2 linked regions of the Astyanax mexicanus genome follow. The protein of the gene in region 1 interacts with the protein of each later gene in a pairwise test. Links are inferred from orthologs where the notes say so. Each region holds a gene or a part of one and is shown in the gene's direction. Other genes may lie near its edges. The genes, in order: aptx and xrcc4.

The links.
Region 2: the proteins of aptx (region 1) and xrcc4 interact in binary tests that used the Homo sapiens proteins (3 or more experiments, as listed by UniProt). The link is inferred for Astyanax mexicanus from reciprocal best matches to the Homo sapiens genes APTX and XRCC4.

The regions. Positions count from the first base shown.
Region 1 is NC_064432.1:22,364,329-22,375,475, forward strand, and holds the start of aptx (aprataxin), read left to right. Parts: upstream 1-5,695; 5' UTR 5,696-5,829; exon of another isoform or gene 5,830-5,883; intron 5,884-6,002; 5' UTR 6,003-6,011; coding exon 6,012-6,141; intron 6,142-6,672; coding exon 6,673-6,719; intron 6,720-9,288; coding exon 9,289-9,342; intron 9,343-9,455; coding exon of another isoform or gene 9,456-9,507; coding exon 9,508-9,747; intron 9,748-10,258; coding exon 10,259-10,318; intron 10,319-11,147. Other genes in the region: uncharacterized protein lcorl, read left to right, coding at 389-402. UniProt on the Homo sapiens protein: DNA-binding protein involved in single-strand DNA break repair, double-strand DNA break repair and base excision repair.
Region 2 is NC_064427.1:66,361-77,456, forward strand, and holds the start of xrcc4 (DNA repair protein XRCC4), read left to right. Parts: upstream 1-6,412; 5' UTR 6,413-6,473; intron 6,474-11,096. Other genes in the region: ubiquitin-like-conjugating enzyme ATG10, read left to right, coding at 21-116, 421-550, 648-745, 904-1,001, 1,087-1,189; tmem167a (protein kish-A), read right to left, coding at 4,333-4,403, 4,507-4,541, 5,820-5,929, 6,338-6,412.

The DNA.
Region 1 (11,147 bases):
TCACGTACTAAAGAGAAAAGCTTCACAGAAAGTTTTGGTTTCATCCCCACCATAATATGGCTTATCACACAGATAGCACTTTAGCTCACTGTAAAAAAAAAATAAAATAAAATAAAAAAAAATATCTCAGGCAAGGACACTGCTTTGCATTATGTCCTCATATATTTTATTAGAAACACAGAGCAGTTGCGACATAAGCCTGCTGATATTATTATAACAGTGACATCAGTCCACATTGCGCTGTGTGAAGCCTTATTATCCAACATCTACTTAGTGAATTTTCCCAAGTGATAATGTTGTTAATGGAAGTGATGATATGTACTGTCTAAAATCAATATATCTACATTTAATGCTGTTTCTTTTACCTTGCAACCTCTGCCTTTTACAGGACCACCCAGATAACAGAATATTTCAGCAGGACAGTACAGACAACTCAAAACATAAGGTGCCTTTAACAGCAGACTGGCTGAAAATCAAGAGCATTAGGACACGCACACAACCTCAGCGAGCATCATGTAGCAAAAGACTTTAATTATGAAAACTTGCACTATGTAATCTTATTGTGTCTTTATTTTATATATCTGTAAACGTGGCCTTTTATTACTTTTTGAGACCTGATTTATTTTATTATTGTAAAGAACCAGGACACCGAAAGGTGTTCTTGTTTTTTGTTTTTTTTTTCTAAATGTGTGAAGAAGTGTTTAAAATATTCCTGTCAATTTGCAAAGCCGCTAATCCTGGAGTACTGTAAACATCCCACACTCTTTTCAGTAAATGAAATACTGTAGCTGCATTCGTAACAAGGACACGTTACATACTTTTGAAGGTACCTTAACATCAGGACCTTCTCTGGTTCCACTTTTAGGTGAAAAATTTGCCTTAGCTGTTCAAGATTAATACAGTCAGTTAAGCTGGTTTTGAGATCTAATACAAACAGAGCAGGAAGTGCCATTTCACTGAAGCTGTAGCTAAAATGTCCTTCTGTACGGGTCTCTGGAACAATCTTGGCCCAATGTTTATCTGACTGACATTCTTTTCTAAAGCATTAATTCAATGTTATGTTGCATTGCACTACAAACAGTACTTCTGTTACTTTTTTTAATGGACTGCCACTGTTCTCCTCGAGTGCAATGTTCCATTTTCTTATGCCGAGGTGTTACGAGGTGTTTTTAGGTTATTTATGTATTAAATATTTAGGTTTTGTTATTTACAAAACACCCCCATACAAAACGACTTGGGGGAGTAAAAGCACGACTTGTAGTATGTGATCCCTACATTTCGTGGTCATGTTTAAACTCTATTAAATGCAGCCTAATCTTTTTTCTGTTCAGTTTAGACTAAAAGATGGTGTTAATACACTTTTTTAAACTACTAAACTAATACATTCAGAATAAAAGTTCAGTTTAAAAAATGTTTATCTGGATTTTAATCTTTTCATCTGATTCAAGTTTGATTGGGGTTCAGTCAGGTGCATTATTTGTTTCTTGTAGCGTCATATACCATTCTTAAATGGGTGCAATCTTCGTGGAATCCCTGTTTCTAAAAAAGTTGTGTCCTAATTCTTCAATGAAACATTTTGTTGTTTTTGTCCGATCTGCTGCTCATGACTTTCAATACATACTGTCCGATCTGATGGTCCTGCAGAAACACGTGGATAGCAGATCAGAAAAAGGGAGGGAGGTTTTATACATCTCAGTGAACTCCTTCAAAAAATTAAGGACTGGTGCTATCTTTTACACACACTCTGATATCTGTGCTTTGTCTTTTACATATGTGTTGTGTCAGAAAAATTAAAGCTCTTTTAAATGTGTTGCCTTGATTTCTTTTATAAAATAAATATCAGTTTCTGAATAAAGGCAGGGAATTTATACCTGTCCACTTTGGGCTGGTGTGGTTGCATGTTTTTTTATTCCAGCCAAGCAGGATTAAGTCACCAGTTGTTTGAAGACTGATCGGCTGATTAAACAAGTGGAATCAGCAGTGCTGCTTATTGTTTAGGAGGAACATTCATAGCCACACTGGCCCAGTATGGACCGTTTTGATAGCCCTGGTTTAAAGAATGAATTTTGTTTGAAATACTTCTTAAAATGAAGATCATGGTTGGGACAGAGATAACACAGGAGCACTGCCTTTAAAAAACATCACAAAGGCTGCAATACCAATCAGTGCCAGTGCAGTCACATTTTTTTTTTGCTTTGCTTAAATAGGGTCGGGAATCCCATTCCCATTCCCTTCTGGTCCAAACAACAGCTTCCTCCTTATTTGATGATCAATTTGTGGTCACTGGTACAGAAAGCAAACGAGACAGAAACGATTTGAAATTTGTAAGAAGTCATTTGAGGACGAAGAAAAATGTGCAGGTCCCACCGAGATTTGAACTCGGATCGCTGGATTCAGAGTCCAGAGTGCTAACCATTACACCATGGAACCCTTCTTGCTCAAAGAATTGGATTCAGAGTCCAGAGTGCTAACCATTACACCATTGAACCCTTATGGTCCAATCAACAGCTTCCTCCTTATTTGATGATCAATTTGTGGTCACTGGCACATCAAACGAAAGCGACAGCAACAATTTGAAATTTGTAAGAAGTCATTTGAAGACAAAGACAAATGTGCAGGTCCCACCGAGATTTGAACTCGGATCGCTGGATTCAGAGTCCAGAGTGCTAACCATTACACCATGGAACCCTTCTTTAAATATGCTTACTGTAAAATTATAATATATTTACTAAGTATTACACCTGTATCACTATTATACACCAGGTATGTTAGAAATGTACTAAGAATTGATGTTAAATATATGCTATCTATTTACATTGGAGTAAAAATATGCTTCTTGTTCCTGTCTTTTGTAAGCAGAACACTTCTAGTATAGTATATACTTTGTTGGGTATAAAAATAGATTTTAACATACTGTACTACAATTTTTAGCATGTTACAAATTTACTTCAAATGTTATAAATGTAGCAATTTATTTTTCTTTTTAAAAAGTTACAGGATACGTTGTACTTTGTGAACTACTGTAAAATCTGTTTTTAGCACACTTTGCTAAAAATGTACAAAAGTATATTTGGAAATCAGTATTTTAGAAGTATGCTGAATTACATTGAAGTAAATGTGTAATTCATAGTAGTCTATTTATTTAAAATGCACTGTACTGTACTTGTTTTAAGAGTATGATCAAAGTTTACTTTCAAACATTTGATGAAAGCATAATATTAATGTACTTTTAATATATTTTAAGTAAGTACATAAATCTGTTAATATATTAACAGCATACTTAGACATTTCTCAATATGTTTTAAGTACAATTAAGTATATATTTTTCCACCAGAGTATACTTGTACCTGAGTAAGGAATGTCAATACTCTTGATATCTGTGGTTGCAGAGCCGACAGGCCCACTGAGACTAACCTATTCAGGCCGAAATAGCTCAGTTGGGAGAGCGTTAGACTGAAGATCTAAAGGTCCCTGGCTCGATCCCGGGTTTCGGCAGAGGGTTGAGATGTTTTGAGGAGCAGTGCTCTCTGCTGGTGAAACGCTGCAGCTTACTGCATTTTCTTTGTAGTAAACATCACTTCCTGTGTGACACCTGTGGACACAAATCACTCCTGTGTTCATGGGGTTATAATGGTTAGAACTCTGTAAATGTAAATGCAGCATACTACACTGCAATTACAGTAACTATTAACAAAATACAACACTAATATTAAGAAAAACACACGTTTTTGTTGACTACATAATTCATTTCATGCTCCGCCATATGCTAATATTATTAATAATATCAATCCACAACATAGAACATAATAATAATACAAATTGAATTACGAGGTGTGTCCAAATTTGAACTATTTTTATTATTTGTATGTATTTTTAAAACTTTATTTTTGATTTGACTTTATTGTTTTGATCTTTGATCTCATACACTCTTTTGTGACCCTTAATTTGATTTTAAATTATATTTACAGATGTGCATAAAATATGAATGTACATATATTTGTAAATATATTCCTAGTCCTTAATGATTTGCCTTTAATTCTTTAAACCTTTACATGTCTTGTAAAACAATAATAGTATTAAAGTATGTATTTTATGGACAGTGCTAGATTTCTGTATGGGGCAGCTGGGTGTTACTGGTACTGTGTTGTATGCTGTTAGTGTGGGTAATCTCCACAGAATGAAAAATAAAGCAGTAGAGAAGATAATGGGCATGCCACAGGTCTGACAGAAACACTGAATTTCTTGAAATATCAGGCCGAAATAGCTCAGTTGGGAGAGCGTTAGACTGAAGATCTAAAGGTCCCTGGTTCGATCCCGGGTTTCGGCAGAGGAAGTGAGATGTTTTGAGCAGCAGTGCTCTCTCCTGGAGAGAGTCATATATGGACCTATTAAGTGTACAAATACGGTACACTATACGGTAATTACAGTGAATGTTATACAAAATATATATAAAATTTTAGGTAAAATTTAGGACTTTATTATTTATTATTTGAGCATTCATATCGCAATATTCTTGTGCAATGTTTTTGCAATGCGACATCAATATCCATTTCTCAAAACTTTTCATTGTTATTACAAAGTAAAATTCACGCATTATTACTATTTATTTTACTCCAATCATTGTTGCAAAGATTGCAATATCAAAATCATGACATGTTTAATCATCGACTGCTGCCGAAATTTGGAAAAATTCCAGTATTATTTTATGTCGCACTAGATATTAAAATATCGTGCAGCCCTAGTAAAATCTAACAATACATAAGTTGTTTGCAATATTTATTTTTGTCTCAAGTCAGCATTCACAGCCTATATTACAAAATGAACATCTATAATATACAGTATATCCAGTCTCAGTCTTGTTTTATGCTTATTATTACCATACAGCATTTTCAGCAATCTTCACACATCTTATTTTATTTTTTTTTGTCTGCCTCCAAAAATATACAGGGAAGTACCTGCATTTTAACCTTAATTTATACATTTTAACCACATAATATCATTGTTGTTTTATTTTTTTCACATCAATATAAATATAATTCCATTTATACAGTCTTTACAAATGTATTCTTTTATTTGCACTATTATCTATTATTAAATCTATTATTACACATTTACACACTAGAGAGTTTTACACAGAGAGATTTACACAGTTGAGAGTTAATATTAAGTATTTTGTGTGTTTTTTTCTTACAATTTACTTGATTTTGATTATCTTTTTTGTTAGTTTTGTATTTTTTAGGTAATGTTTTTGTTTACAGTGTAAAAAAAGGATTTTTATCAGTTAGCTTTAGTATAAGTAATAGTGTGTAAGCAAACAAGCAATTGAACTGTGTTTTTCATCTCAGATCAATACAAATATTATAGTACAAATGTTCAATCAACGTATTTGAGTTGAATTAAATCAAGTTTCATTTATTTTAACCACATTATTATTATTATTTTTTTAGGTCGCACGGCTGAACCAGGGTTACAGTGTGCTTCTGCGCCCTAAAACTTTTTATATTAGGGAGCAGGACACATGTGATTAGTCGTAATTAATCACAAAATATTGTTGTGATTAATTCAATTCATTTTTAAAATCGATTGACAGCACTCATTTTAATTAGTTTAATAAAATATGTCCCTATATTTTAATACATATATTTTTAAAACGTTTTTGAGTTACCGTTTTACCCGAACTTTTATTTTGAAGTGTTGAAATGCACATGCGGCACATTGCTGCTGCTGCTGGTTCGGAGAGTTTCTATTTCAAAGGCTTTTTAAAAACCTCGCCATCGCACTAAGCCGTGTCAGACCGCCTATAAACCATATTTGAGGATCATCTTAAAGAGATCAGAGTCTTTATCCTTATAGCTGCTACAGATGCTACAGAAGCTACAGATAGTCAGTCTGTGTTGTAGCTGAATTAAAGGCTAGCCTAGCCTGGCTAATATAGCCAGCTACACTATACAGCAGATTTAGTACAGTCAGAAAGTTACATTTGCTTTATAAAACTCATTTACAGCAGGAAAATGCCCAGCTGCTGGTTTGTAAGCGAAGATGACTGTCACAAACCCATTCAGCTCCCTCACCAGCAGACTGTGAGTTTGGGTCGAGGTCCAGAAACTAAGATTAAAGACCAGAAGTGCTCCAGAAACCAAGGTAAAATCTTCCCTTTTTATCCCACACACAGTTTCATTTACTTCTAACGAGGAGTAATTGAGAGTAGTCTCACTTATATACCTATAGAACCAGTGAAAATTTGGATACACCTCTTCTCATTCAAGTGTTTTTTTTATTATTATTATTTTTAACTTTGTAGATTTAATGCTGAAGTAATTAAACATATACACGAACAAATGCGGAATTATTTAGTAAACAAAACGTGTTAGCACATGATTAACATTGCTAAAATTGCTTACAGTATATTGTGATACATTCCATTGTAACCCCAGTATTGCGATATGTACTGTATGGGCAAGTTCTTGCCAATATACAGCCCTACTAGAATATAACAGTTTGACCGTAAACCAGATAAAGTTTGATAACTAAATTAAATTCTGAACCAGAAGCCATAGCTAATTACTGATGTTCAGTGTCCTAGGTTTTTAAGCTCAAGCATTGCAATTTAATACAGGTTAGCGACTGTTACATATCTAATTATAATCTTTACATATTTCTGTATTTTCACAGTTGAACTGAGAGCAGATTGCAACCGAGGATTTATCAGTGTGAAACAGGTAAGCTAGTCATTTCTAATCATTTTAAAGAGTAAATAACAAAATCATATAAAATAGCATTGTTTGTTGTTGTACAAAGCAACTATTGGGAGTGAATAAAGCAAACTTTAGTACTGTCATTTTGTCAGTCTTAGCACTGACTTAATTAGCAGCTGCAGGATAATAATCGATACTCTACTTGGTTGTCTACTGAGATTTGAGGCATTTATGACCAATTAATCTTTGGTGTGTTGAGTCATTTACTTTATTTTACTCGTGTACTGTCTTCTTTAACCCAGACTGGAATAAAAATAAATTATTTAAAACTCATTCGAATAATTTCTCCCACGATAAATATATGGGATAGGTCTAGTTAGTTTCATAAATGGAAATACAGTACATACCATCAGGGCTTTATCCATGCAGTACTCGCTGCCTGGGCCGCCATCCTGCCATCACTGTACTTGGTTCAGCACAACCTTAAAAAAAAAGAACACTAGTTTGTACACTTATTAATAGGATTTCGCTTTCTGCTACCTTAGCAGTGTAATTTATGTAATAAATATTTTAAAAACCTTAATAATGCTCAGACAATTATTATTCTTGTTATTTGACAGCGGTGCTGCTCTAATCATGGATTTAGTTAATTCAGCAGTGCTATTGTAATTACACATTAGCATGTTAGCTAGATATCTCTGCAGTGTTATTTCAGTCATACAATTGTTATTTTACTTGTTTTAACTAATTGTACTTTTAGCTTGCAAACTAGTTAATTCAAAAGTGCTGTCTTAGTCAAACCTTTAGCTAACAGTTAGTTGCTAGCTGCTATGTTATCTCAGCAGTGTAAATTAAAGTTATAAATTTTTTTGTTACTTATTAGTGTTATTCCAAACATAATTGTATTTACGCAGTGCAAATTAGTCATAATTATACCTTAACAATGCTGTTCCAGTTGTTATTTTATTTCAGAAGTGCCGTATGTATCATGATTAAATTATCTTAACTTAACTGTGCTATTCTAATTAAAATTTAATTCTTATTATGAGTTTGGTCATTTCAATAGTTCTAGCCACACATTTAACTAGTCAACTAGTTTGAATTCACCTAGGTAACTTAACTAACACTAGCTAGCTTGTCTAATTAACCAGCTAGGTAACTAACTAGCTAAATAACTAATGCTAGCTAACTTGGCTAACTTATGCTAGCTAGCTTGGCTAACTAACGCTAGCTAAATAACTAACGCTTGCTTAGCTAACTAACCAGCTAGGTAACTAACTAACCCTAGCTAGCTTAGCTAACTCTAGCTGGCTAACTAACCAGCTAGGTAGCTAACTAACACTAGCTAGCTTAGCTAACTAGCTAAGTAGCTAACTAACTCAACTAGCTAGGTAAGTAAAGCTAGCTAGCCTAGCAAACTAACCCTAGCAAGGTAATTAACGCTAGCTATGTCATTAGATAGCTAACTAGCTAGCTTTTACCCTCAGCAGTGTTATTTAATCATAATTTACCTTATTAGTGTAATTTACTTACACAGGAGCGCAGTTTTCCACAGAGAAAGACAGTGTTTTCGTAAAAACGAAAAAACTAATGGTGAAAAAATTAATGCTATGGCTAAATTAGCTCAGCTACAGTTAGCTGGTAGCTATGTTACTACAGATGGTATCTTCTAGCTGAAGAGCAGCCTGTGTGTGAGGAGGTAATGTTACTAAACTGATACAGAGTGTTATAAATGATACTAAAAACTTTATTTCATGTAGTTTATTAGAGTAGAAAATAAAAATGAACCTAAACCAGCTCCCTGCTGGCTCTCTACCTCACCTCTCTCTGTCTGCTGAGTGCCTGCCTCTGCTGCTGAAACAACCTGTAATCAACATTATTGATTACAATATGATATGGCACACCCCTGCTTGCTTAATTAATTTTTTATTATATATTTTTTCAAATATTTATTTATTATATTTATTTATAGCTGTTTTCAGCTGATTATTTTTGTCCTTGTGGCTTTAATATTTATGGATCTTAAAATCCTGAAATAATTATTTGAATCTGCATTTCGTATGATTGAATTACATTTACCTGACTTTTTAATAACATGAAATATTCAATGGTTTAATTAAAAAACGTTTCAAATTTTAAAATATGTTTTTGTGAAATTTACCATAAAATCAGAACTGTCTACCAGATGTTTGCCCTCTAAACTAAATTTGTATTTCTGAGTTTTGAATCAAATAGATTTAAATGTACGGATCTGATTTTACATATTAAAATTATTGTATCTATTTTTTATCTGAAAATGTTAAAATCTGAAATTGGAACAACAGCAAATTGCACAACTCAAAATACAAAAATATTTAACAATACAAAAAACAATACAAATTTCAAGGTACATTTAATTTAAATATAAAAATAATTCAAATTCAAATATTTGTCTGCTTTTACACTCCATAGGATGGGTGCTTACAGCTTATTTATTACATTAACACATTTATTATATTATTTACACAGTAAATATGTCAGCCTTTGTTTATGTAAATATTAAACATGTGTCCACACTGTAATGACTTGTATTTTGTTGTATTTTGCTTTTCAGTTAGGAACTAACCCCACCAGTGTGGACCATGTGGTTGTGGGCAAAGGCAATCAGGTAAAGCACACCTGCATTTTAAATTTCACACCCATGCACCTGAAATTACCTGTGTCATCATTAGTGTCATCATTAGTGTTCCGTGCTGTTTAGTAACTGATGCTGTTGTACAGGGCGCTGGCTGTGACATCATACCAACATCATTTCCCTCACCTTTACAACCAGGTGCCTTTAAAGCCGGGTCAGAAACTCTACATGGTCAACCAGCTTTACCCGTACACCGTGCGCTTCACTGAGGACACGTCGGTGACTGGATCTGCTGGGGAGAAGAGCAAACCAGCGAAAAGGCCACACCAGCGAGATTCTACTGAAGATAAGAACGAGGAGAGTCCAGCCAGGAAAATGTCCACGCCGTCTCATACAGAACAGGAGTCAAACAGAGCAAAAACAACACCAGCAAAAGCGGTGAGATGCATTAAAACATTTTAAAAATGTAAAAACAAATCTAGGTTTAGGTTTTTAACTCTTTTAGAAGCTGCAGTTTAATTTCTGGTGATCAAATAAAAAGCATTATTTTCTAAAATTCTGTATTATTGGTCAGTGTCGCTTCGAACTCTGGGTCATACTGCTTGCCGCAGCAGCTGGAGTCCTAGAGAGCACAAATGGCCATGCTCTTTCTGGGTGGGTAGATGTACTAATTTAATGTTGTTCAGCACAGGTGTCTGTTAGCTGATGTATCAGAGCTGGGTTTCTGTGCTTTCCTCCTAAAAGAGGCAAAGTCTGGCTTCATATGTATCGGAGGAGGCATGTGCCAAAGGTTTCTATAGCCATATTTATGCATTCAGAATATATTCTTGTGAATAAGGTAATTAAAATGATATAATGAATAATTTTGCTTCATTGACTTTAAATGGATAAGAACTAACTCTTGACTCTCCCTGTTGTCTTTTATATGTGAATGTGCTGTTTTCCATAGGAGCCTGCAGGCCATTGGAGTCAAGGTCTGAAAGTTTCAATGCAGGACCCAAAGATGCAGGTATTAATTTACACAAGACTTAAAAAGACTTTTTTTTTTTTTTTTTAGCTTGAATGTTTAAATGCTATAATTTAGATCATTTTTTAACACATGATGGAATCACTTTTTTAATGTATAATCCAAATCACTCAAGGAGCTGGAATATACAGTATGTGAAGTGACACATTACAAGTAAACAAGATAAAAGATACACTCATTGTGTATAATAATAGTGAAAAACAGTAGTTGCACTAATAAAGAAATGTGGCGTCACAGTAGTATTTATAAGAAAGATAAAAGTTATCAGGAACAGTGAATAAAAAAAATAATTAGACGCACATGAAAAACTCTTGTATATGTTTATTGGATATATTAAGCTATACAGCTCTGGAAAGAAAATAAGAGACCACTTCAGCTTCTGAATCAGTTTCTCTGATTTTGCCTCGTTATAGGTATATGTTTGAGTAAAATGAACATTGTTGTTTTATTCTATAAACTACAGACAACATTTCTCCCAAATTCCAACTAAAAATAATGCTATTTAGAGCATTTATTTGCAGAAAATGAGCAATAACTAAAATAACAAAAATGATGCAGATCTTTCAGACCTCAAATAATGCAAAGAAAACAATTTCATATTCATAAAGTTTCACAAGTTCAGAAATTAATATTTGGTGGAATAACCCTGGTTTTTAATCACAGTTTTGGCATCATGTTCTCCTCCACCAGTCTTACACACTGCTTTTAGATAACTTTATGCCTTTACTCCTGGTGCAAAAATTCAACCAGTACAGTTTGTTTTTTTAGCTTGTGATCATCCATCTTCCTCTTGATTATATTCCAGAGGTTT
Region 2 (11,096 bases), on another chromosome or scaffold:
TGGCATTTGCTGGGATTTAGGGTTCTGAGGGCTTCATGAAGAAGACGGTTCTGAGACCCAGGAGAAATTCGCCTCTGAAGACTGAAGCCCTGGATTTCATGACTGAAGAAGAAAAGGTAAAAAAACAGTTTTATTACAGAAACAACAACTAGTTTATAATAGAATACAGAAAAGTGAAAAGGTGAAAAATTATTTATTATTAAAAATAACATGTCAATTGAATCTTGATTGGTAATGTTTCAGTGCTGCTCCTGCTCCACGTGCGTTAGATGATCTTTAAATATTATTTTCATATTTTATTTCTGTTTTTTATTTATAAATAGGATTTTTGCAAACATTCTATATACAGTGTTGTATAATATATATATATATATATATATATATTTGTTTGTTTGTTTGTTTGTTTGTTTGTATCTGCAGGTGGAGGAAGAGGAGGAGGAGGATGCCCAAGTCGAGTGTGAGAAGCAGGATGTGGTAGTTTATGAGTATCATGTTTTATATTCCAGCAGTTATCAGGTCCCTGTCCTGTACTTCACTGCGTCGACTCTGGGTAGGAGTTTAGATGCTAATCAGATTCTCCTTGTGTTTTTAGCGTTGGGCTAAAGAGAGGAGAATTTCATTGTTTCAGTGTTCTGTTTGTGTTGCAGACGGTCGGCTGCTGTCGCTGGAGGAGGTTTGGAACAGTGTTCATCCGGACTGCAGGACGCAGCTTCTGAACGAACCCTGGAACACTCTGACCCAACAGGTTAAAATCCCTTCTTCTATAAATATAATATATACTTAAATCTAGAAATACAGAATATTTTTTTTTTATAAAACACACATGGACACTATATGGAAGAAAGAATGTGATGTTCGGCTGATAGCAGTGTGTGTGTGTGTGTGTGTGTGATTGGTCTGCAGGAGCACCCGGTCCTCGGCCAGCCGTTCTTCATGCTGCATCCGTGTCGGACGGAGGAATTTATGCAGCCGATTTTAGAAACGGCTAGAAGAGAGAAAAGGTAAATCAGTTCAGCCCTGAATTTAATTCTGCTGGACGCAGTAATGGTAACAGGTGTGCACAGTGCAGGAGTGTGTGTGTTGCAGGAGAATAAACTACGTGGTGACGTGGCTGAGTGTGGTTGGGCCGATGGTGAGGCTGGTGGTACCAGTAAGTTACTGTACAGTTCCGGATCAGAACCGAGTCTGAGGGTGGTTTACCGGACTGGACTCCGTGCTGAGGTTTGTGTGATTTATATATTGATATATTGATATACTGATATGAGGTATCAACTGAATTTGGTTCGGTTAGTTTCGGTTTCACACTGCAGTTTAGTGACGGATTGAAGCTGCTTGCTGAATAGAGCACCGGTTCTCTATTCCTCTGGACTTGGTTCCTCTGATTGGTCTGAAATTCTGAACCATCTAGTGTTTCACTCTGCAGAAGAACCGGACCGCAGTTCAGTAGATCCAGACTGAGAACATCTTTTCACCAGGGACTAAAATCTGGCATGAGGCTCAGCCGACCAATCACAGTCGCTGTATTCCACATCACTATGGAGCAGTATGATGTTGTTGGGGAGGTGTGTGCGCGCGTGCGCGTTTGTGTGTGTTAAAAAAAAAAAAGTAATTAATTAAATAGGGCACCATACAGCCCAGAGGGAGAGATTTTTAAACTGGGTGTACTGGTACTGGTTTGTAAAGTGGGCTGTTTTGGATGGGTGTGTGTATCAGAAATGACAAAATGTTTTAAATGTTTTTGTTTTTATTATTAGTAAGATTGATCTGAGGGCACTGAGCTGGAGGATGAAACAGCGTCCCAGTGAACCGGCTCAGATCCAGCAGAACCGCCGGGTCAGATCCAGCAGAACCGCCGGCTCTATTTATTATTATTCTGATATTATGATAAACCAGTTTGTACAAAAATGTTTGTTAATTTCCAGTCTACTGAACTATATTGTCTATCGATATTGTTTTAAAGTATTAAAGTTATTGGTAATTCTGATACACTGAGCACTGTGGGAAACTACCGAAAACCTAATATCTGCAGTTTACCCAACTACTGAACTAATGCAAATAACCCAGATGTTTTAATATAAATAGTTGCTGTGCTCTGTCTCTCAAAGTAATTAAGATTTTCACAGATACACAGATCAGTTAGTGCCCGCTGTGTTGCCCCCTTGGCCCTGTGCTGCAGCTCAGTGTATTTTGGGGGGGTCTTCATACTGGGCCTGTTAAAATACCCCCTCAGGTTTGGATCAGGGATGTCAGGGGAAGTAAAACCATATGGAGCCAATCAGAACCCAGTAAAGCCAACGAGACTTCATTCCAGTTCAGAAGGAGAACAGAGGAGCTGGATTCTCCAAAAACACAATTTTTTACATTTCCCACCTCAAATATCTGATCAGCACCAGTAACACTGCGTATACCAATATTGTTTTATATTATTGTTATGGATAACAGACAAGATATTTAGGGAGTTTTTGTCACAAGCTTATGTTTGGTATTATTGTTAAAAGTTGGGAGAGTTAAACATAATTCAGACAAAACATTTAAATAAAAGTAAGAATTTTATCTGGTTTACAGAAACATTAAAAATATAATTTGATGATTATTTCACTGATTTGGTTTCTAAACTGAAAGATTTCACTCTTGGAGCACAACAGTGCAGAAACCTGGGCATCAAACCCACAACCCGCTTCTGCTCCAACCACTAACCCACCACTGACCAAACCAACAAACTGAAGACAGAGTTCATACGGTCATGAAAAACCTGGAAAAGTCATGGAATTTGAAAACAGCAAATTCTAGGCCTGGATAAGTTTTGGAAAAATAAAAATACCCAGAAAGTTTTGGAAAAGTCATGGAAATTATTGCTCTACAAATCTCAGTGTTTCAGTTTATCGTCTAAGAAAAGCTAATTTGGTGTTAAAAATAATTGAATGTTTAGGCAAATCCATCGTGTCCCGTCTGCACTGATATTTTAAAGACTGTACGGTCTGGAAAAAACATGGAAATGTATTAGTTGAAAAGTGAAGAATTTACTTCTAGATGCTTGTTATACTGGGTTAAACTGGATATTAGCTTAATCTCCCAGTAAATAAAAAAACTAAAACAGTATAAAGCATTCCTCAGTTCATTATTAAATTAATTCATTAACAGCATAATAAAGTCTCTTCAGTAAGAATTTGAGAACTCAAACTTTGGATATCGACTCAAACCCTTCAGATCATCCAACTCTATGCGACAAAATATATGATATAGTTTTATATACTTGCATCTATACACGAACACACACACAAATATATACATATATAATACATACATGAACACTAGTGTTGTGACTGTAAAAGAGCAGAACAGTAAATGTTTGAGCTCTGTAGAGCCACAGCTTGATCTGGTTTAGCTGGACCCTCCTGATGCCCCTCTGGAAGCGTAAACACAGCAATCTTCAAACAGTGGATCTGCTGATTGTCCAGAGTTTACCACTCGCACTCGGGCACTGCTGGGCTGATGTATGCCCACGCGAAGGAAAATTACCCCACACAGAATCAGCGCCGAGCCGCTGCCAGCTCAGATCTCCCCGCGTTTATTATTCAATTTTACAAACATTAAAGCTGCAGGGGTTTCATTACACAATACCCACACAAAGCTCCATTCATAACCCAGCGCTGGTTCCAATTTACCACGAGAGGGGGTGAACAACCCCCACACCCCCAAAACTCACAGCGCACTCCTGTACTCTCCTGTGTATGTATGAATATATATATATATATATATATATATATATATATAAAATAAAGACACTGATGAGTAGTTGAGGTTTTTAAGGCAATATACTGTATAAAAAAAGAGAGAGAGAGCGGTTAAGCAAGAGGTTTAATAAACTGAGTTCAGACTTGGACGAGAGAAAGTCAGACTTTATTTAGTAGAGCCGCTTGAACGTTAACTCACACAGCTGAAAACACAGTCGCTGCAGGATGAGATTTATGGACTGGTCAGAGATCTCTGTGCAACTCGTTCACGAGCAGCTCTGGACTGAACCACGGCTTCTCCCACCACGTTTCATTACGTGGTTCTGGGCCTGAGATAATGGGAGCTTTTGGACACAAATAACAATAACAATAATTCATGTTTACAAAACAGTCAGAGTGAAAAATGCACAACTTTTACTTCAAAAGCAGTTCCTGTCCTTTAACAGAACCCCCGCGCTGCAGAACACAGCAAAGAAAACACCGCACAGAACCAGCCCAAACGCCGACACATCACACAGCCCCTCCCGCAGAGATGTCTTCTTCCTAAATCCCTCCATTTCTGATCCATCCATCCTCAGCCAACGCTCTTCAACTTCTGCTATTCCGAGAATAAAATGGTGAACGCCATGATGATACAGCAGCACGCCACGTACGGACTCTTCCGCTCACCTGCAAACAAAACAATGCATTAAATAATGTAGACCTACACTGTACACTCACACACACAAACACACATTCTCAAGGTGTTTGGAACCCATACAGAATAACATACCTATTCTTGCACATTTCCAGAAAATTCCTAGAAATCTGTTGGGGTAGAAAACAGAGAGTAAGAGAACTGTATTATTAAATATTACACACGCATCATTATTTACAATGTTATTTATGTTAATTAGTAGATATTGATTACACTATTAACAGTTACCCAAATGATTAACAGTCATCAGTAGTTTTTATAGTGGGAAGCACATTTCTCCGGTGAGTAAAATCTGATTAAAGGTAAATTAAAAAGTACATTCCGTTAGTTTTAATGTTGAGAACTGTAAATACCGTTAACTTCTTATGGAAACAGAATTCAACACAGCCGCTCTGTATCTGTAGCTCCTGGCTTAATGCCAAGGAGAATTAAGCTCTCATTAAATCATCTTCCTGCAGAGATGAGCAGGATCAGGGTTAGAAGAGAGACATCCCTCTCCGGAGGCGCCGGACCTCGCCAGAAATATCTACAGCCGACTGGAATATAAAGCCCATATAAACCCGGCCAGTTTCACCAGAACCAAACAAACATTTGGAACATCTCAGTCTTTATCAGAACAGATACAGTGCAGCAAAACATTTAATAAACTCTGATTCATCCATTACACACAGTTTTACCAGAACAACAACAACAAAAAAAAAAACATCTGCCATCCAACCAACATTACCTGCATACTCTATAAAAGTACCCCAGGTTTTTTCAGAAACATCTCAGAAAAACAACTTTGGGTTCCCTAGAAAACCAAGTCTAAAAACGAGACAAGAGTCTGAAGAACCGTTCTTTAAACACTGCAAAACAGCAGAATAGGTAAAACCGGTAAATGCAGCTTTGACATTACAGCTCCAGACTAACATTTTTCAAAACCATTCTAAAGCTTTGTGGTAGCCGCCCCAAAATACATATTCTTTTTTTTTTTTTCTTAACATTACTGTTACCTCTAGCAGCATTACCAGCTTTAATAATCTAATAGCCGTCGGAACGCAGAAATATATTTATATCTGGATTGAAACACACTCCTTTACACAAACGCACAGATTAAGATCTAAAGTTTCTCCCAAAAATAAAACACTATCTTTGCAAAATATCTATGTTATTTTTTTCCAAGGATCTATCATTTGACAAACCTCTTAAATATATTGATGCCTTATTTTTTTTTTATTTAAGATTCTAAACCAAAACATACTTTATTTTAGTGTTTAATTATGACTGTCCAACAATTATAATGTCCAACATTTTTTAAATAAATAAATATGTAAAGACAAATATCATTTTATTTCGCTTATTTTTAGGATGAATAAAAAGTACACGATCTTGTTTTAGATACATACCCTGTTTTATTCTTGTCCAGCAGGCTGGGAGCTAAAGCTCGGATATAAGCGCAGGTACAGATCAGCAGCAGAATTACCGTCAGTAAACTCTGGAAATTAAAAATTGCAGACTGCAAAAAATAGACAAACATTAGTTACATAGATTAATAATTGCAGTATACAATATAACTTACACTCTTTATTGCAGTGTTTAGGTTCAAGGTGAAATAAACTTTAGTTTAATGTTAAACAGGCTGTTGATTATTAATGATAATATTTAGTAGATGTAACTCGGGGTTCTAATGTAGAATCAGATTTATTCTACAGAGAAAAACTTTAATATTAATCAGAACTAACGAGCTAATGCTAAAGCTAACGGGCTAAAGCTAATGGGCTAAGGTTAGTGTTTCCCGGCGGTTCTGCAGCGGGATGTTCTGGGAGAAGCTCCGCGCGCCATCGGGAAGATATTAATTTTAGCGCTCCGTTTAGTAAATCAATTTAATCCGGGATTAAATAAAGAAATGTTTCGGTTTTCTCACCATTTCCACAGCTCCGGTAAGCCACCTCACACTTCCTGTACACAGAGGAAATGACGACACTACAGCGCGTCTCATCTGCACAGAGTAAACAGAGAAATCAAGCTGAGGCTAATGCTAACACCCTGCTGACCCACAGGTAAAACACTAACACTCCTCTCACTCTTTATACTCTCACTCTCTATACTCTCACTCTTTATACTCTCACTCTTTATACTCTCACTCTCTAACACTTTCCTTCTCTTTCCTTTCACTCTCTTTACTCAAATTCAAATTCAAATTCAAAGTTGCTTTATTAGCATGACAAATTTTCACATTTGTATTGCCAAAGCTGTGATTAACAAGTATATATATATATTCCTGACAAAATTTAACATAAGATAACTGTACAGGTAAATTTGAACACAAGTTTAAGTAAACAATTAAATTAATTATTATAAGAAAAAAAAAAAAAAAAAAAAAAAAAAAAAAAAAACATATGATTTATAATAAAGAGTAATAGAGCTTGTAGTTCTGTACAGCAGTGTATCTGTGGTCACTCACTGTCCCTCAGGCTGTGGCAGGCCTGGACGTACTGCGCTGCCAGAGTGCAGCACTCACTGTGTTCCCCCAGCAGGTAGGGGAGTTTTTCTGGATCGGGGATGTTTTTAAATGCAGGTAATTTGTGGGTGAATTTGGTGTAGAATTGGGTTCTAATCTGGGAATATTTGGGACATTCTGTAAGGAAGTGCAGCTCTGTCTCTGGTCTGTTCAGTGGGCAGTGTGGGCACACTCTCTGCTCTTTGGGCAGCCAGGATTTCTTGTGCCTGCCCGTCTCTATGGCCAGGCTGTGGGCACTGAGTCTGTACCTGGTCAGGGTGGACCTCAGTTTGGGGTCAGTCAGGGTGCTCAGGTATTCCGCTGCTCTGTACTGACGGTTTAGGGCCGAATAACACTGTAGTTTACTCTGAGATTTAGTTTGAGTTTCCCAATAGCTGATGTAGTTTTTTTGGAGTTGTTTTGTAATTTGGTTGAATCTGATTGGTGTCTGGTCCTGAGTGTGTGGGGTGTTAGTGTGTGTTAGAGCTGTGTGTGTAAGTGTGTTAATGTGTGTGAGTGTAGAACTGTGCTTCAGGACCAGCTGAGTGAGGGGACTGGTGTCTTTGCTCAACTCTTGGTACTGCAGAGATTTATAATGGTAAGAGTGGGGGTCGCTGTGTTGTAAATGTGTCCAGAATTTGATTGCCCTTTTTTGTATTTTTAAAATCAGTGGAAATTGGCCTAATTCTGCCCTGCATGCGTTGTTTGGGGTGTTTCTGTGAACCTTCAGAATAATTTTACAGAATTCTGCATGCAGGGTCTCAATTGGATGTTTGTCCCATTTACTAAATTCTTGGTTTGTAAGCGGACCCCACACTTCACTGCCATAAAGGGCAATAGGTTGAATTACAAACTCAAATATTTTTAACCAAATTCTAATTGGAATTTCTACAGGAATTTGTTGTTTTATGGCGTAGAAAGCTCTGCGTGCTTTTCCTTTCAGTTCATTCACTGCCAATGTAAAGTTTCCAGATGAACTGATTGTAATACCTAAATAATTGTAGTTTTTTGAATATTCAATATTATTTGTACCTAATTTAAATATGTGCTTTTGCCCCTGAGATCTGGATCTTTTTTGAAATACTAAAATATTTGTCTTTTTTAGGTTTACTGCCAGGGCCCAGGTCTGGCAGTACTGCTCCAGCAGGTCCAGGTTCTGCTGTAGACCCTGTTCTGTGGGGGACAGCAGGACCAGGTCGTCTGCGTAGAGCAGGAATTTGATCTCTGAGTCGTGCAGAGTGAGACCCGGGGCTGCAGACTTCTCTAATATTTTTGCCAATTGGTTAATATAAATATTGAATAATGTTGGACTCAAGCAGCAGCCCTGTCTCACTCCGCGCTCCTGAGAGATGGAGTTTGTTTGTTTGCTGCCAATTTTTATTCCGCATCTGTTTCCAGTGTACATTGATTTAATTAGATCATATGTTTTACCCCCTACACCGCTCTCTAGCAGAGTGTATAATAATCCTTGGTGCCAGATTGAATCAAATGCTTTTTTAAAGTCAATAAAACATGCAAAAATTTTGGATTTATTTTGGGTAACATATTTATCAATTAGGGTGTGTAGGGTGTAAATATGATCAGTGGTGCGGAAATTTGGTAAAAATCCAATCTGACTTCTACTCAAGACATTGTGCTCCATAAGGAAGTTTAAAAGTCTAGAATTTAAGATGCTGCACATCAACTTCCCCAGATTACTGTTCACACAGATGCCTCTGTAATTATTGGGGTCGAATTTATCTCCATTTTTAAAGATTGGTGTTATAAGTCCATAGTTCCAGATTTCAGGGAAGTAACCTACACTCAGAACCAGGTTAAATAATTTCACAATTGCCAGCTGTAATTTAGAACTTGAACTTTTTATCATTTCATTTAGTATGCCGTCTGGCCCACTTGCTTTCTTTGGTTTTAGTTTGTTAATCTTTTCTTTAAGTTCCTGCGCAGTAATTGAGAAGTCTAATGGGTTTTGATTGTCTTTAACAGCTAATTCTAGTTTTTTAAGCTTTTTGTTTATATTATTTTGCTGTGGATTTGAATTTGTCTCTATTTTTCTGAAAAGTGTCTGGAAGTGGTTCGTCCAAATATCTCCATTTTGTATAGCCAATACTTCACGGTCTCTTTTTTTAAGGTTGTTCCAGTTTTCCCAAAATTGATTGGTTTTGATTGACTCCTCAATTAGTGTCAGTTGTTTGTGAGTGTGCTGGGCTTTTTTGGTTCTGAGTGTACGTTTATACTGTTTTAATGTCTCACAGTAAAGAAGGCGTATGTGGGTGTTTTTTGGGTCACGGTGCTTTTGATTTGATAATTTCCTTAGTTCCTTACGTATGTTTTGGCACTCCTGGTCAAACCAGTTATCTTCTTTTTTAAGCTTAGGTTTTGATGTATTAATAATTTTTAATTTAGCCTTTTCTGATGTGTTTTTGAATATTGTATTTAGATTTTTTACTGCCAGATTGACTCCTTCTTTACTGTGATAATATATGGTATCCAGAAAGGTGTCTAACTGAGTTTGAATTTCTTGGGTGCTGATTGTTTTCTGGAACTCTTCTGTGCTGTTTTGGGCCCATCTGTATGGTCTCCGGATGTTGTACAGCTTACTGGGCTGAGTGTGTGCTGTGCTGTTAGTCTCTGTCCTTTTAATGAACACAGTAATTTGACTGTGGTCAGACAGAGGGGTTAGTGGTTTTACAGTGAATGCACTGAGAGAGAAAGGATCTAAATCTGTGATCATGTAATCTACTGTACTGTTCCCAAGAGGTGAGCAAAATGTGTATCTTCCTAAAGAGTCCCCTCGTGTCCTACCGTTGACAATGTACAGACCCAGGCTTTGACAGAGCTGCAGGAGGTCTCTTCCGTTTCTGTTTACTACGCTGTCATGGCTGTTTCTGGGGAGGTAAAAAGAATTATTGTTAATAAGATATGATAAGTTAGAATGATCTTTTTGTGAGGGTATAAAGTCAGGCTGTGTCCCTGTTCTGGCGTTCAGGTCCCCACACACAAGCACATTTCCCTGGGCCTGGAAATGGCACACCTCCTTCTCTAGCTCAGAAAACATGTCTTCGGTGTAGTATGGGGACTCTGGGGGAGGAATGTAAATGGCACAGAGGAAGATGTCCTTCTGTGAGCCGATTACAGTGTTTCTGATTTTAATCCAAATATGATATTTCCCTGTTTTTAGAATTTCTATAGCTAAATGAAGATTTGATTTGTACCACATTATTATCCCCCCTGAGCGTCTACCCTGACGTATTGTGCTCAGCTTCTGTGGGGGTACTATAATTTCTCTGTACTCTTTAGGACAGTGAGTGACCATCTCAGCCTTACACCATGTCTCCTGTAAGATTACGATGTCAAGGTCTTTGATACAGTCTAGAAAGTCTCTGTTTAGACTTTTTAGGCCAAAGGCTGATGAGTTTAAGCCTTGGATATTCCACATACATATTGAAAATGATGCCATAGTTTTCCTTCTTATTTTTTCAGTTAAAATGAGATAGACACATAAACATTAAATTTGTAAATGATCTGTGTACATGAGAGAATTATACACCATTCAATCAAGTGCTAAAACATGAACATGAACATTTTTTTTAAATTATATTTTTCTGCTCTTTTTTTAGTTTTTGTAGTTCCTACACAAGTCTGGTGCAGATATATTGCAGTAATTGCTTGATCTCACCCATGTCCTTTTTGGTGTGGGTTCCTTTGAGAGCATCTGCGTAGCTGCACTGTTGCTGTGGGTTGTGAGTCTGGGGCAGTGGGGCTTCTGTAGCTCTGCTCTCTGGTTGGTTCTGGTGGGTTGATGAAATTGGTGGGTGGTGGGGCTTTGCTTTGGGTGGTGAAGGCCGGGGTGCAGGTCTGGCAGGTGGGACATGCTGAGATGACTGAGGTAAGTTGAGCTGGTATCGCTGGAGTCCAGGCGGTGGCCTTTGGGGGGGTTTACGTGTGGGTGGGCTCCTTGTGATTGTGTGGAACCTTTGCATTGCTGCATGCTCTCCTTCTCTGTACATGGGTTTAGGACCTACATGTCTTTGTCGACCCAGTGCCACGTCTTTCAAAGTTTTGGCAAATTCTTTAACAGTGTTTCTGTTTAAGTGCACGTGATCATAAAGATGATGGGGGCCGATGTTGGAGTGGTGGGCCAGGTGCACATTAGGGATCAGGGAACATCCTCTTGAAATTTCAG